Oryzias latipes: one gene and its partners. The protein of the gene in region 1 purifies or fractionates together with the protein of each later gene. This does not show direct contact. Links are inferred from orthologs where the notes say so. Each region holds a gene or a part of one and is shown on either strand. Other genes may lie near its edges.

Region 1 (3,650 bases):
ACTCCGATCGTCCTTTGATGTATTCCCAAAGCTTTCCCAGTGCTCTTTAATTATGATTATGCCTTTATTAGTCAAAATCAAACAACCTTGTCTTTTTTTCTGCAGAGTGGCAGTAGTTCATCTTTTTTCTTCGATCTTTTTTCAAATCTAAATTTCTTTTGTCTCCTCCTGATTCACGACTTCAATACAGAAATATTTTTGGACTATAAGTCGTTCGGAGTATAGGTGGCAGACGCCAAACAATGTATAATAAAAAAGAAAAAAAATACTTTGTAAGTCGCACTATTGGGAAAAATTCAAATTCAATCTGCTGCTTACAGTTTATTACCACAGAATAAAAAACATGCTAACAAATCAACAAAACTCTTTTATTTCCCTTTTTAATAACTCAATCCGTTGAATTCTTCACAGTCTGCGACACTTTTAAACAAATCCGCCAGGGCCGGCGCTTCTTCTGCTGTGTTACTGTCTGTTGCAAAGACTGACACACCCACCTACAGCGCCCTCTGGCGGTTTTTAGTGGGAAAATAACGAATATGAACCTATTATGATTTTTTAAAATCACATATAAGTCACACCTGGGTATAAGTCGCTCCCTCGGCCAAACTATGCAAAACGCGACTTATACTGCAAAAACGACGACACTTGTCATCAGAAAAGTGCCCCAAAAACATGTTAAAAACACCAAAAACAGGATTTTCATCAGAGTGGGGCCTTTAAATCGACTCTGAACATCAGAATCTCTGCAATGCAAAGCAAATCCAACTGTGACTTTCAACTTAGTCCGTGTCTATCCGGCATCTGGGCTGGAAAAAGTTTGGTTCCAGCTTTTCTAGCTTGCTTTCCAGGTTATGTTTGTTTTTTGTGCCTCAGCAAAACAGACACAAATCTCTGTCATTGTGCCTGCAGATATTTCAAGTGGGGCTAAGAATACCAGAACTAATGTTGGTAATGTCACGAAGGTGCAAGGTTCTGTGATCCACACTCTGACACCCTAACGGATGAGGCCTTGTGTGTATTAATAGGTCCCTCCGTGGGAACGCACTGCAGGAGAGCTTTCTCTGTCATCTGCAGGAACCCGAGAGACGCTGATCTCTCAATCAGTGGGCGTTTGAAATGCTGAGGCGCCTTTGCTTTCTGCCTGCAGGTGAACATGACGTCAGACCTGGAGGGGAGCGACTTGCTGGCGGAGAAGGCCGACAGGAGGGAGTTCATCGACTTGTTAACCAAGATGCTGACCATCGACGCCGACAAAAGGATCACCCCCATCGAAACGCTCAACCACCCTTTTGTTACCATGTCGCATCTGCTCGATTTCCCACACAGCACACAGTACGTTGCTCAGCCGCCGCTCCCGCCGCCGTTTGTGTACCGGTGATCATCGGTCCTGCGGGCGGAGAGCATCTGCTGCCGACGCTCACGCCTTCTTCCTCTTCTGTCCGTGCAGCGTCAAGTCCTGCTTCCAGAACATGGAGATCTGCAAGCGCCGGGTCAACATGTACGACACGGTCAACCAGAGCAAGACCCCCTTTATCACCCACGTGGCCCCCAGCACTTCCACCAACCTCACCATGACCTTCAACAACCAGCTGAACACTGTGCACAGCCAGGTTAGCGGCTTAGGCTGATACCATGAGGTTTCATGCATTTTCTCTGTGGGTTACAATGAAATTATTCCTCTGTGAAGCATTGGAAACAAGCTGGAAAATTAGAGGATGTATATAAGACCAGAAAACTTTCAAAGTAAAAGCACAAAAGGCTGCAAACAGTCATCTTAAAAAATCAGAAAGCAGGAAAATGATCTCTCCATGCAGCAATTTTGACTTAACAAGAAATCATATAAATAAAAATCTATAGAAATTCCACACAAGCATTCCAAAAGGGAAAATATGCACAAAAAAGCTGTTAAAATTTCTTCAAACTGAATGTTTTACAGCTCAATTCCTATTTTTTTTGCTACTTATAAGCAAATAGTTTGTAATTTTTGAGTTTTTACGAACCGAATTGTATTTCATTTTGATTACAGTGACACACAACTAGTGTAATAAGTGGAAATGTCTCATTTTATGAAAAAAACTACACCAAAAAGAGAATCTTAGTACAAGTTGGTCCATCTTAATAAATCCTTATCAAATCTAAAGCTAGCACTTCTTCTAAGAAAATAAATCTACATTTTTGTTTCCAAAATAATGGCAGTCTAACTTTTATTGGGCTTCAAAATAACTTCCTTTAAATTCAACCAAATTGAGTTTCTTGAGTCCTAAAGCAAGTTTTTGTGTTGTCAAAGGTGCTTTATTTTAACAATAATCCTTTTGTCTCTTAATGAGACAAACATTTCTCCAATGTGCTGATTTTGAATGAAGCTTGGAAAGATGTATAGCAAGGAGAGGTTAAAAAGAGCTTCACACCTGCTCAAATATCTTGATTGTCTAAAAACAAAGTTTGAAGTCTTTATCGAATAGTTTGCAGTCAAAGCAGAAACATGCCGTTCTTTTAGCAGATTTGCAGCTTTCCAGGGCTTCCTTCTAACTTTCTGTACCCATTTTTCTAGCTTGCCTTCACATTTTCAGGCTTACTGCCACGTCTCAGCATGTGTGTGTCTGTCTGCCTGCATTTGTGTCTGTGGCCCAGCTCCTGTGGGATTGTCACAAAGTGCTGATTACACACATGACAAACCCCACTTCCTGCTTGCCTTGCATTCTGGGGCTTTCAGGCCTTAAGAATCCCTCCATGAGGCTTTTTTTCCCCCTCCTCTGTCTCAGTCCTGTCCTTTTCTGCCCCCCCCCCCCTTTCTTTTTTCTCCTTTTACCGTTACCGGGTTCTGCGGGTCTAGAATCTCTCTGTTTCCTAAGTGAGTTGCTGACGTTTTTCTGGAATCGCCGATCGTCTGATGGCGAGGCTCTCCGTCTCTTTTTTTTACCCCGTTAAGGCCTCCGTCACCGGCTGAGCCGTCTTACCCGGCAACAAGACCATCTCGCTATGATCTGCATGGATCAACGTCCCAGCAGCCTGTCTCGCTGGAGTCGTTCCCCTTTAAGTTGGCGATTTATTAAGACGATAGGAAACCATCTTTTGGTGCTTCTGTGCTTGTGGATGCACCTCTCTTCGTATCTATTCCCCCCTCCCTTATGCAAACTTTAAAAAAAAGGGAGTTAAACTTAGCGTCCGTCTACGTGGAAAGCTACCAAGTTGCTTATGGATGTCGCAAAAATCTCAGTTGCGTAAGATTGACATAATAGTTGCGTATAAATGACGTAAAATACGCATAAACTGGGTCATTCTCAACCAACCAAAACTTCTGAACAAAACCGAATTGACATAAAAACCCGTCGGCTGAAACCCTCGCTGGACATCGATGAATGATGAACGCAAGAAACATTTATGACTTACGCATAAATCACCACAGACCATCATTTCATAATCACAAAATGTACACAGTGGCTGTGTGACACAGCCTTTACATCAGCTTGGATCTTCTTTAAGTTTTCGAGGTTTGTCAGGTAATCTGATTACTATTTCCGTGACGTTGCAGGAGACTTTTGGTTTTTCTTTGAGGTTAGTTGTTGTCACTGAAATATTATTAGTTTGGTGAACATCTGACTTTTTATTTTGTTGCAGTTTCTTTTTGTTTTGTTGTGTTTTTTACCCCA
Region 2 (4,355 bases), on another chromosome or scaffold:
ACATTCCTGACTTCTCCACTCGTTGTTTTCAGGATCTGATGAGGCTGCTAAACCCAACAAGGCAAGTTCACTCATTTATTTACGTAAATGTTAACAGTCTTTCACTCTTGTGAATAACATCTGTTATTTCTCTCACAACAGGATAAGTGATGACAAAGCAGACGTTTGTCACTAAATCATCAAGGTGTCTCATACTTCTGATGGGGTTTCATGTGCAGCTGTCCAGCTCTTTGGTGCCTTTGGTTGATTGGTTGCTGGTTTGGACCGTACCATTTTTACAGAAAATTATTTGACCACCCCTTTCTTTTAATGTTCTTATCTTGAAAGCATGACATCATAAAAACCGAAAGAACGCTTCAAGTTTCACTTTGGGGATTTCTAAACTGTGACTGGAGGCTGTGTTTTGTTTTGTTTTTTGAGAAATATGTTTCACTGAAGATGCAAAACAACTGTCCTAATTAATAAAGTAAAGCACGTTTGTAAATAGGAAGCCCAGAATATTTGTACATTGTATTACAATTAATGAATGTCTGTCTTTTTTTGTGTGTTTGTCAAAGTTCTGCTGAAATGTTGACAAAATTGTTGTAAAAATTCCAAAAATAAAAGGTTGTAAGAAGTCATTTTAATTGTGCTTTATCTGTCCATTTCTAAACGTTTATTATACTTGATGGCGTGGTTCTCCAAGTTAACTCTTCTTACATTTGGACATAATATGCATCATGATTAACCATGTTTTAACCAGCTCAGTGGCCTTGTGGTAGAGTGTCTGCCCTATGACTGGAACGTCGTAAATTCAAATCTAGGCCGAGTCATACCACAGACTCTAAAAATTGACACTCAGCATTAAGGGGGTGAATCCAATCCAGTTCCTGTGTACGGTTGTGTCTGCTGCTCACAGTCAAATGCAGAGAACAAATGTGTGACATGTAATGGTATTAACCAGGTTTAAAAATCACTTTATTATGCCCTACAAATGAGGAGTCTGAATGCAAGAAAATAATCTAGAATAGAGGAAATTTAAAGCTAAAACAACTGCAGCTTACGTAGGCAGCTAAATAATAGACATACTTTTATTACATCTTTTAGAAAAAACAGCTGCAACTTCCAGCTTTTTCTGCCACAATCATCACAAAAATGCATGTGAGATTGCGGAGGGACTGTACATCATGCAGACTATGAGTTGGATGCTGATGTGCCGCGGGATTTTTGTCAAGGATAAAGCGTGCTTTGGCTCTAAAAAGGTTGAAAAACACTGATCTAGAGCGCTCAGACACTCTGCAGTTCACTGTTTTTTCCACTAAATGTCTGTTTTGTTGGAGAGTGTACTCACAAATCGTAACGGAAGATCCGTAGAAGAAGACGTAGTGTTGTTGTCTTCCACTCTGGCCAATAGCAGACATTTTTACTGGATCTTTATTCTTTCCACCAATGAGAGGCCTTGGCATTGGTCTGAGTGTCGCGGGCACATTTTCGGTTTCTAGCAGTTCGTGGAGCTAAATTTACGAGATCTAAATTAGCCAAAAGACTTTGCTATCCTAAAAAACGCATCCATGAAGTATTAATAACTTTAATCTGTTAGTTAAATAACCAGGAAATCATGCCGTTTTTCCTATATTCCGTTTGGATTTACAAGAAAAGTTACAGTAGCTGCTCTGTTGCTAATCTTAGCTTAAAAACTGCTGTGCGTTCCTGAAGAGCAACATTTACGTTTCTATTGTTCCTGAATAAAAGGTGAGTGTTTTAATAATATGCACCCAGTCGTGTTTTCTCAGAATTATAAGCACCGTATCTGCCATGTTTTGTGATCAGTTTTTACAAAATTTCCTTTTGTTTTCACTTTAGATTAAGTTCTGTTGAATATTCGCCTTCATTTTTTTTCGTTGACCAGAAAACTACGAGAGAGACAGACTCAGGATGTAAAAGTAAACAGGAAAAAATTTTGGTAATTAAAGTTGATGTAAATCAGATAAGGCTACTAGACAGATTTTTTTTAATGTTGAATAATCAAAAGCAAAATAGACATCAGTGCTATTTGTCGTCGAGCCATTTCATTTTTGCATTCCGAGCATTTTCGTCTTAAAAATAAGTCTAATTTGTGTCGATCAGGCAACAGAAAAGTGCCATTTCTTTGTCTGCATCTCGGTATTTTCAGGTCAGCATTGCAGCCGTGTGGACGATTATTATTGCAGTGTTTTTATCTTTTTGGATCTTTAATAATCCTGTTTCACTGTGAGACGTTTTTGTCCACATTCTCACCAGATACCGTGTTGTGTATCTTTCTCTCTCAGCATCTCAGTACATCATGACCCATGCGTTGAGATTTTCATCTGTAAAATATATAACTAGCTTTGTGGCAATACAGTCCAATCCTTTAATGAATAAAATCTAGATTTTTATTATTCATTTGACATTTAGAACTATAAATTCAACAGCTTCCACGATTCAAACCTGCATTTAGGGCCTTCTAGACTGTTCTGTTCTTTATGGTTAAAACATCTCATATTCATTTATTCATACATTGTTAGAGGTGCTGGGAAAAAGGAGGGCTAGTTTTGTGCACACAACATCCCACTTATTTATTGTGGTTCAGTTAGTTTTCATTGATAGAAGCAGGCTTGTGATTGGACGTCTTGTGTTTTGGTCACTCGTGAAAAGGGCAAAAACAGTAGAGTCCACACCACGAAGAGAAACTGACAACGTTTACCAGAAACAACGTTTTTTTATTCCTGATGAATTTTATACCTTTTTACCAACATAATCATGTGTTCATATCTGTGGTTTTCATTGGACAGACAACTGTGCTTCCATTCAGGCTCTATGGGTTTGTTTATAAACATTTAAAATAAAATAAGCCAATTAGTAATAGATTTTTTTATATAAATTGATTTTTTTGGACCCCTGATAAATTATTAGTTGCTGGTTTTTGTAACAAGGACTAAACAGTAGGAAATAAGTTGTGAAAAATGTTTTTCACCACTGACCCCCCAATATTTACTAATATATGAATAGATTTTTGAAATCAATAATCCTTCCACGTCTTGCTTCTGTACCTTTTGTCACGACCAGCGTGTTTTTCCTGTTTGCAGATTCACAGCAGAATCCGTCAGGGTTTAGATGGCGGTGGCTCCTGCCTCAATGGGAGATGAGATCATAGTTCTGGATGAAGACAACGAGGACAGCCCCCAGCCCTCTTTTTCCGCTACTACTCCCTCCTCTGATCATGGCTCCAGAAACGCCTTACCGCCCAAAGGTCAGCACTTGGTGGCCGTGCACGCCGCCATGTCCCCAAGTCACCAAGTCTCAGGGAAGAAGGAAGCTCAGGGTCTTCTAGCTGAGAATCAGAAACTGTTCTCTGAGGTGAGCTGCTTCAGGTTTTTACTGAGCCCACCCTCTCTTCTGTGGTCTTCTTCAACTTCTAAAATAAAGAATATTTTAACACCCAGCAGGTTTTTGTTTGTGCTAATATTGCTGATATCTACTGTTTTTTTCCTTAATATTTTGTGATAAAATATGTTTTTATGTGCTTCGGAATAGATTGTTAGAAACATTTAAGATGTTAAATTGTTGAAAGCTTTTACAGTTCATCTGTTTGACTTTCTCTGTGAGTCACAATTGAATCTTTTTCTGTTTTGTAAAAGTCTTATAAAGGTGTAATATGAAAGGTGTAATGATCTGCATGATTCATCTTCAGTGTTTGATTCTCTCGTGTCTTTCCTGTAGTTTGTGGAGCATTGCTCCGCTCAGACCAAGGAGTGCCCGGAGGTCCTGGAATACCTGCAGCTGAAACACTCCAAGACGTGTCCAGAGTTTCTGTCCTCTGTGGAGTTCAGGAACACTCTGAAAGGATGTCTAACTCGCGCTCAGAACAACCGCTCCAAAACCTTTGTCTTCATCAATGAACTGTGCACGGTGCTCAAACAGCACAGGGATAAAAGGAGACTGACCCTCTCCAAGGCGGCGCCCTCTACCTCAACATCAGCTTCTGTTCAGTCTACCTCCGTTCCCCCTAACAGTGAGAAGAGGAGTGACGAAGAGCAACCTTCTACTTCTGGAGTGCAGGAAGACAACAAAGAGCAAGATCAAAAAGAGGAAAAAAGAGCTAAAAGGGCCTCAAGGAAACAGGTCGGTACAGACAATAAACCTAAAAAAAAAAAGACAGTCAGTGTTAATCCTGTACTTGTTTTATTCCTGAAATCAGACGATGCCAGACTAAATATCTGGAGCACATGTCTCCCTCTCAGATCGCGTACCTGGAGAATCTCCTAAAGGTTTACAACGATGAGATCTTCCGTCTGCAGCAAACTGAGCTTAGCCTGAATGACTTGGAAGCTGAAGACTCCATCTACATCCAGGAG
Region 3 (4,133 bases), on another chromosome or scaffold:
TGACTTGCCTTTCAAAATAAAAGCAACGATGTAGAAAACTTTTTCCAGAAGTCTAGCATGTGTTCTCTTGCAGTGACAGATAACAAGACACACCAAGATTTCCTTTTTTTTTTTTTAAATCACCAACCAATAGAGTGTTTTTACTGCAAGATGAGTTGTCATTTGTATAAGAAAGTCTGGAGTGATAGAGAAGTATGTTTGAGTTGTTCAGGACATCCATTAGAGCTGGAAGACATAAGACGTGCTGTATGTGTGACAGAAGAGTTCAAGCTGGAGGTGAGACTGCACCATCAGCTTTGAGCTCCTTCTTGTTTGCTGTGATGATGGATGGACAAACTGGCAGATAAGGAACCTCTATAGATCGTGATGTTTGCAGTTGACATCACGATCTGAGCAGAGAGCAGGTGGAGGAACATCTAGGAGATTTGTTCTGGAATGCAGAGGAATGAAGATCAGCTGCAGCAAGACAAAGTTGCTGCATTTAAATGAGAGGAATTTAAGCGGAATGTTTCAGGGAGCAGAGGTGAAAAATTGAGGACTTTAATGGCCACTTGTTGTGGTAATTAAGCCATTCATTAACATACCATGGTTTATAAACTTTACATTAATTGAATTATAAATTGTCTAGGAATACTTTTGACAGCAACAAATACAAGTTCCTTTCAAAACCAGCTGACAGTGCCACACCGTCACAAGGAGGTTCGATATTTGGTGTGGTATACGATATTTTTTTGGACAGAAAAAGCAACTAAAAGGGCTCAATCAAATTGGAATAATCTTACTTCCGGTTCATGTGTCAAAATTAAACATAGAAACAAGACTGCACATTCGTTAGAAAGTAAACATTGACGCTGCATCGTATAATAAACATAAAATTCATTAGGATATGTAGACAAGATGTTACAAGAAAAACAATCTTGAAGCCTGTAAACTGTATTTACCCCCTTATGGTCACAACTGCAGACAGTAATCAAGATTGACGTAACTACATAATTTCGCTTCCGGTAGACACGTTAAAAATAAAACTATTTTGAAACACAGCCTGACAGTGAGAAATACATAGCAAAAAAATTACGTAAATTTTATTTTAATTATAATTAAATTCATAAAACACATGTTTAATTTAACAACATAAACTCAAACGTTCTCACTAAAAGTTTTAATGAGTGCTCTTTAAAAACTCTCTTTTATTTTGAAAGTGTAACCAGGAAGTTCTTCATACGTCGGTTAGATGGTTCGCCATCAAGATCGTAACAAGCAATGCTACTCTTTGTTAAGTGAAGTGCTGTAAAATCTTGTTTTAGAACAAGATTTACGTTTTTAACAGTCAACCGTGCTTCTTTTGATGCTTTTCTATTATAGGAAAACGAGCCGGTAAAAGTTCGTCGCGGCGTTTTCTTATTTGACAGTAAGCTAGGGCTAGCGTGTTAGCTGCTCAGACAACAGCTCGTGAGGATGTCGCTTCACGGCAAAAGAAAAGAAATCTACAAGTACGAGGCGCCATGGACGGTGTACGCAATGAACTGGAGCGTTCGTCCGGATAAACGCTTTCGGCTGGCCCTCGGGAGCTTTGTGGAAGAGTATAACAACAAGGTGCGTAGCTTGTTTTATGTTTTGTTTTTTGAGTCAGCTAACCCTTCACGAACAAACGCGCTTGAATCAGTGCTATGCTAGCTCTGTACATGTTTAGAGTGGTATTGCAAAATGTTATTGCGTTTATTATCTTCGTAATAACGTCTCCATCGATGCTTAATGGTACCCCTTTTTTAATTTAATTTAATTAATTAATTAATTTATTTTTTATTAGAACGAATCGCTTTTATTTTTTTCTTGTCATCATATCTCTACTCAGGTTCAGTTGGTGGGTCTGGAAGAGGAGAGCTCCGAGTTTGTCTGCAGGAACACGTTTGATCACCCTTACCCCACCACCAAGATCATGTGGATCCCGGACACCAAAGGGGTCTACCCAGACCTGCTGGCCACCAGTGGAGACTATTTGCGCATTTGGAGGGTAGGATGTCAAACCCCGGTCACCTGCTGCGTCTGTCATGTTTTTGTTTGGGTCATCTCTTTGTAACTCGAGTACTTTTCACTTTGGGATTTTTTTTTACATCGGTGTGTTTGAAGGAACTTATACTTGTCATGCTTTACATTGCCGCATCGCTGCTTTATGTGTTAAAACTCTTTTATATTAAAGGGGATTTTCAGACCTGTAAGCATAATGTTACAATTATCAAATGAAACTTTATTTATAGGGCATTTTTCATACAACAGTGAGTGCTTTATAGACTTGAAACAATCAAAAAAATAAATAAATTATAAAATAGATTATAGAACACATTTAAACATAAAATTACATAAATACAATTCAAAATAGAGACAAAAGTGAAAGAAGTGAGGAAATTTTATTTTGAAATGAGATAGAACTGTAAGTAAGTAAAAGTAAACTAAATGTCTGGAGCATTTTTTTTTAAATAAAAAGGTGTATGTTACCTCTTTATTTTCTTTTAAAAAGCACAGCATTTGTATATATTTTTTTTAAATTTCCCTGAACTATAGCTATAATGCTGAACCACTATGACAAAGGCTCCATGTATGTAATGAAACCTGTCGTTATACTTTTTTTCCTCCCATTTCTAACTTTTGTGATGCCTCACAGTTTCTTTTAAAAGTATCATTTGGCAGGTTACATATATGCCTGTTAATTGGCTTCTAACATCAGTTTAAGTATTTTTTAAAAACACACGCAATGCTGTTTATTAGGCCTGGGCGAAAAATCGATTGAATGAATTAATTCGAATTTTTTGTTACGGGCGATTTCAAAAATAACTGAATCGAGTTTTTGTGTAATGGCGCATTTTTGGCTCCCCGGAGCTTCCGTAGCGTTAGTTTCACACGGCAATGTGGCAAGCGACAAACAACAACATCATAGCACACACGAAACAGCAAGCGACAACATGGCTTACTGCCACCGACGTGGAGGAAGAGCCCCCCCCCCCACGCTGCAACATTTGCCTAAAGCCCATCGCAGTCAAAGGCAACAGCACCACAAACCTATTCCAACACCTGGGGGAAACCTTTTATTACAGTTCTCCTTCAATCCGTAACTCCAAACATGAACGCCCCCCCCCCCAGCACGCTGTCACTCACTCTCGCGCGGCACGCGCTCATTCCTCTTACACACGCACGCAGTGCGCTGACACGCACACTCATTCTCCAACACCTATATGGTTAGTTCATTAGTTACTTCGTAGTTAGTTTTTACTGTTATTTGTTAATAAAGAATACTGCGTTGCAATTATGAATTACATTTATTTGTGTATTCATTTGCGATGCCGGATGTTGTGTTAGGCGGGGGGGTTGACCGCGACTCCTGCTGCTTCGTCAGCGCGGTGATCAAAAATCCCACACCGTGACAGCTCTAGTTTATATCTTGTGGGACACAGAAAAAATGCGACTTTTCCAGTACGGATAGCAGAACCGTTGAGGTCAGATCTTGAAGAATGTTGCTCTGGGGCTCGTTCAATACGGGGGCTCAGTACCCATCCCTAGGGGCACGGTGGAGAACAATCACTGAAGCGGTCGCTTTGCATACAGCCAAAGACATGGTACCCATATATACTGTGGAGAAAACGGGCTTTATTAATTCAATTAAAACCTTAGACCCCAGATATGAGCTGTATTGTTAATCCTTTAGAAATGGTGCTACTCTCAAGGTGTAAGTCTGACTTAAAACACAGCTGGGACTTTGATTCCCGGAGTGTGTTCATTTATTTATTATTCATCCCAGAAATGGGGGTTACATTTGTCTTGCGTTTGATTAAATAAATCAAAATTTGCTTTAAGTTTTCTGCCGTTTGTACTTATTGCTTTCCTTAGGTAGGGGGGAAAATCGGAAAAAATCAGAAATCAATTAAAAACATTTTTTTAGACCATATCGCCCAGCCCCAGTGTTTATACATGCTTATACCATGGTCTGAAAGAATACTTAATTCTGATTGGCTGCTGGGTGTGGATATATCATTTTCCTTTGCCGCTCCAGTCGAGGTCACAAGACAATTTGCAGCACAACGTAAGAAATAGTCTGCTTTTTGTGAGAACAATTATTTAAACCCAAAAAATAGCAAGAATAA

The links. The genes of interacting proteins can lie anywhere in the genome.
Region 2: the proteins of hipk2 (region 1) and death domain-associated protein 6 purify together in Homo sapiens (affinity purification with western blotting; 3 studies listed by BioGRID). This does not show direct contact. The link is inferred for Oryzias latipes from reciprocal best matches to the Homo sapiens genes HIPK2 and DAXX.
Region 3: the proteins of hipk2 (region 1) and dcaf7 purify together in Homo sapiens (affinity purification with western blotting; 3 studies listed by BioGRID and IntAct, with this or other methods). This does not show direct contact. The link is inferred for Oryzias latipes from reciprocal best matches to the Homo sapiens genes HIPK2 and DCAF7.

The regions. Positions count from the first base shown.
Region 1 is NC_019864.2:30,242,794-30,246,443, reverse strand, and holds part of hipk2 (homeodomain-interacting protein kinase 2), read left to right. Parts: intron 1-1,147; coding exon 1,148-1,332; intron 1,333-1,447; coding exon 1,448-1,610; intron 1,611-3,650.
Region 2 is NC_019869.2:16,001,111-16,005,465, forward strand, and holds the start of death domain-associated protein 6, read left to right. Parts: upstream 1-1,429; 5' UTR 1,430-1,731; intron 1,732-3,086; 5' UTR 3,087-3,114; coding exon 3,115-3,357; intron 3,358-3,720; coding exon 3,721-4,122; intron 4,123-4,241; coding exon 4,242-4,355. UniProt on the Homo sapiens protein: Transcription corepressor known to repress transcriptional potential of several sumoylated transcription factors. Down-regulates basal and activated transcription.
Region 3 is NC_019866.2:4,065,274-4,069,406, forward strand, and holds the start of dcaf7 (DDB1- and CUL4-associated factor 7), read left to right. Parts: upstream 1-1,207; 5' UTR 1,208-1,455; coding exon 1,456-1,593; intron 1,594-1,852; coding exon 1,853-2,011; intron 2,012-4,133. UniProt on the Homo sapiens protein: Involved in craniofacial development. Acts upstream of the EDN1 pathway and is required for formation of the upper jaw equivalent, the palatoquadrate. The activity required for EDN1 pathway function differs between the first and second arches.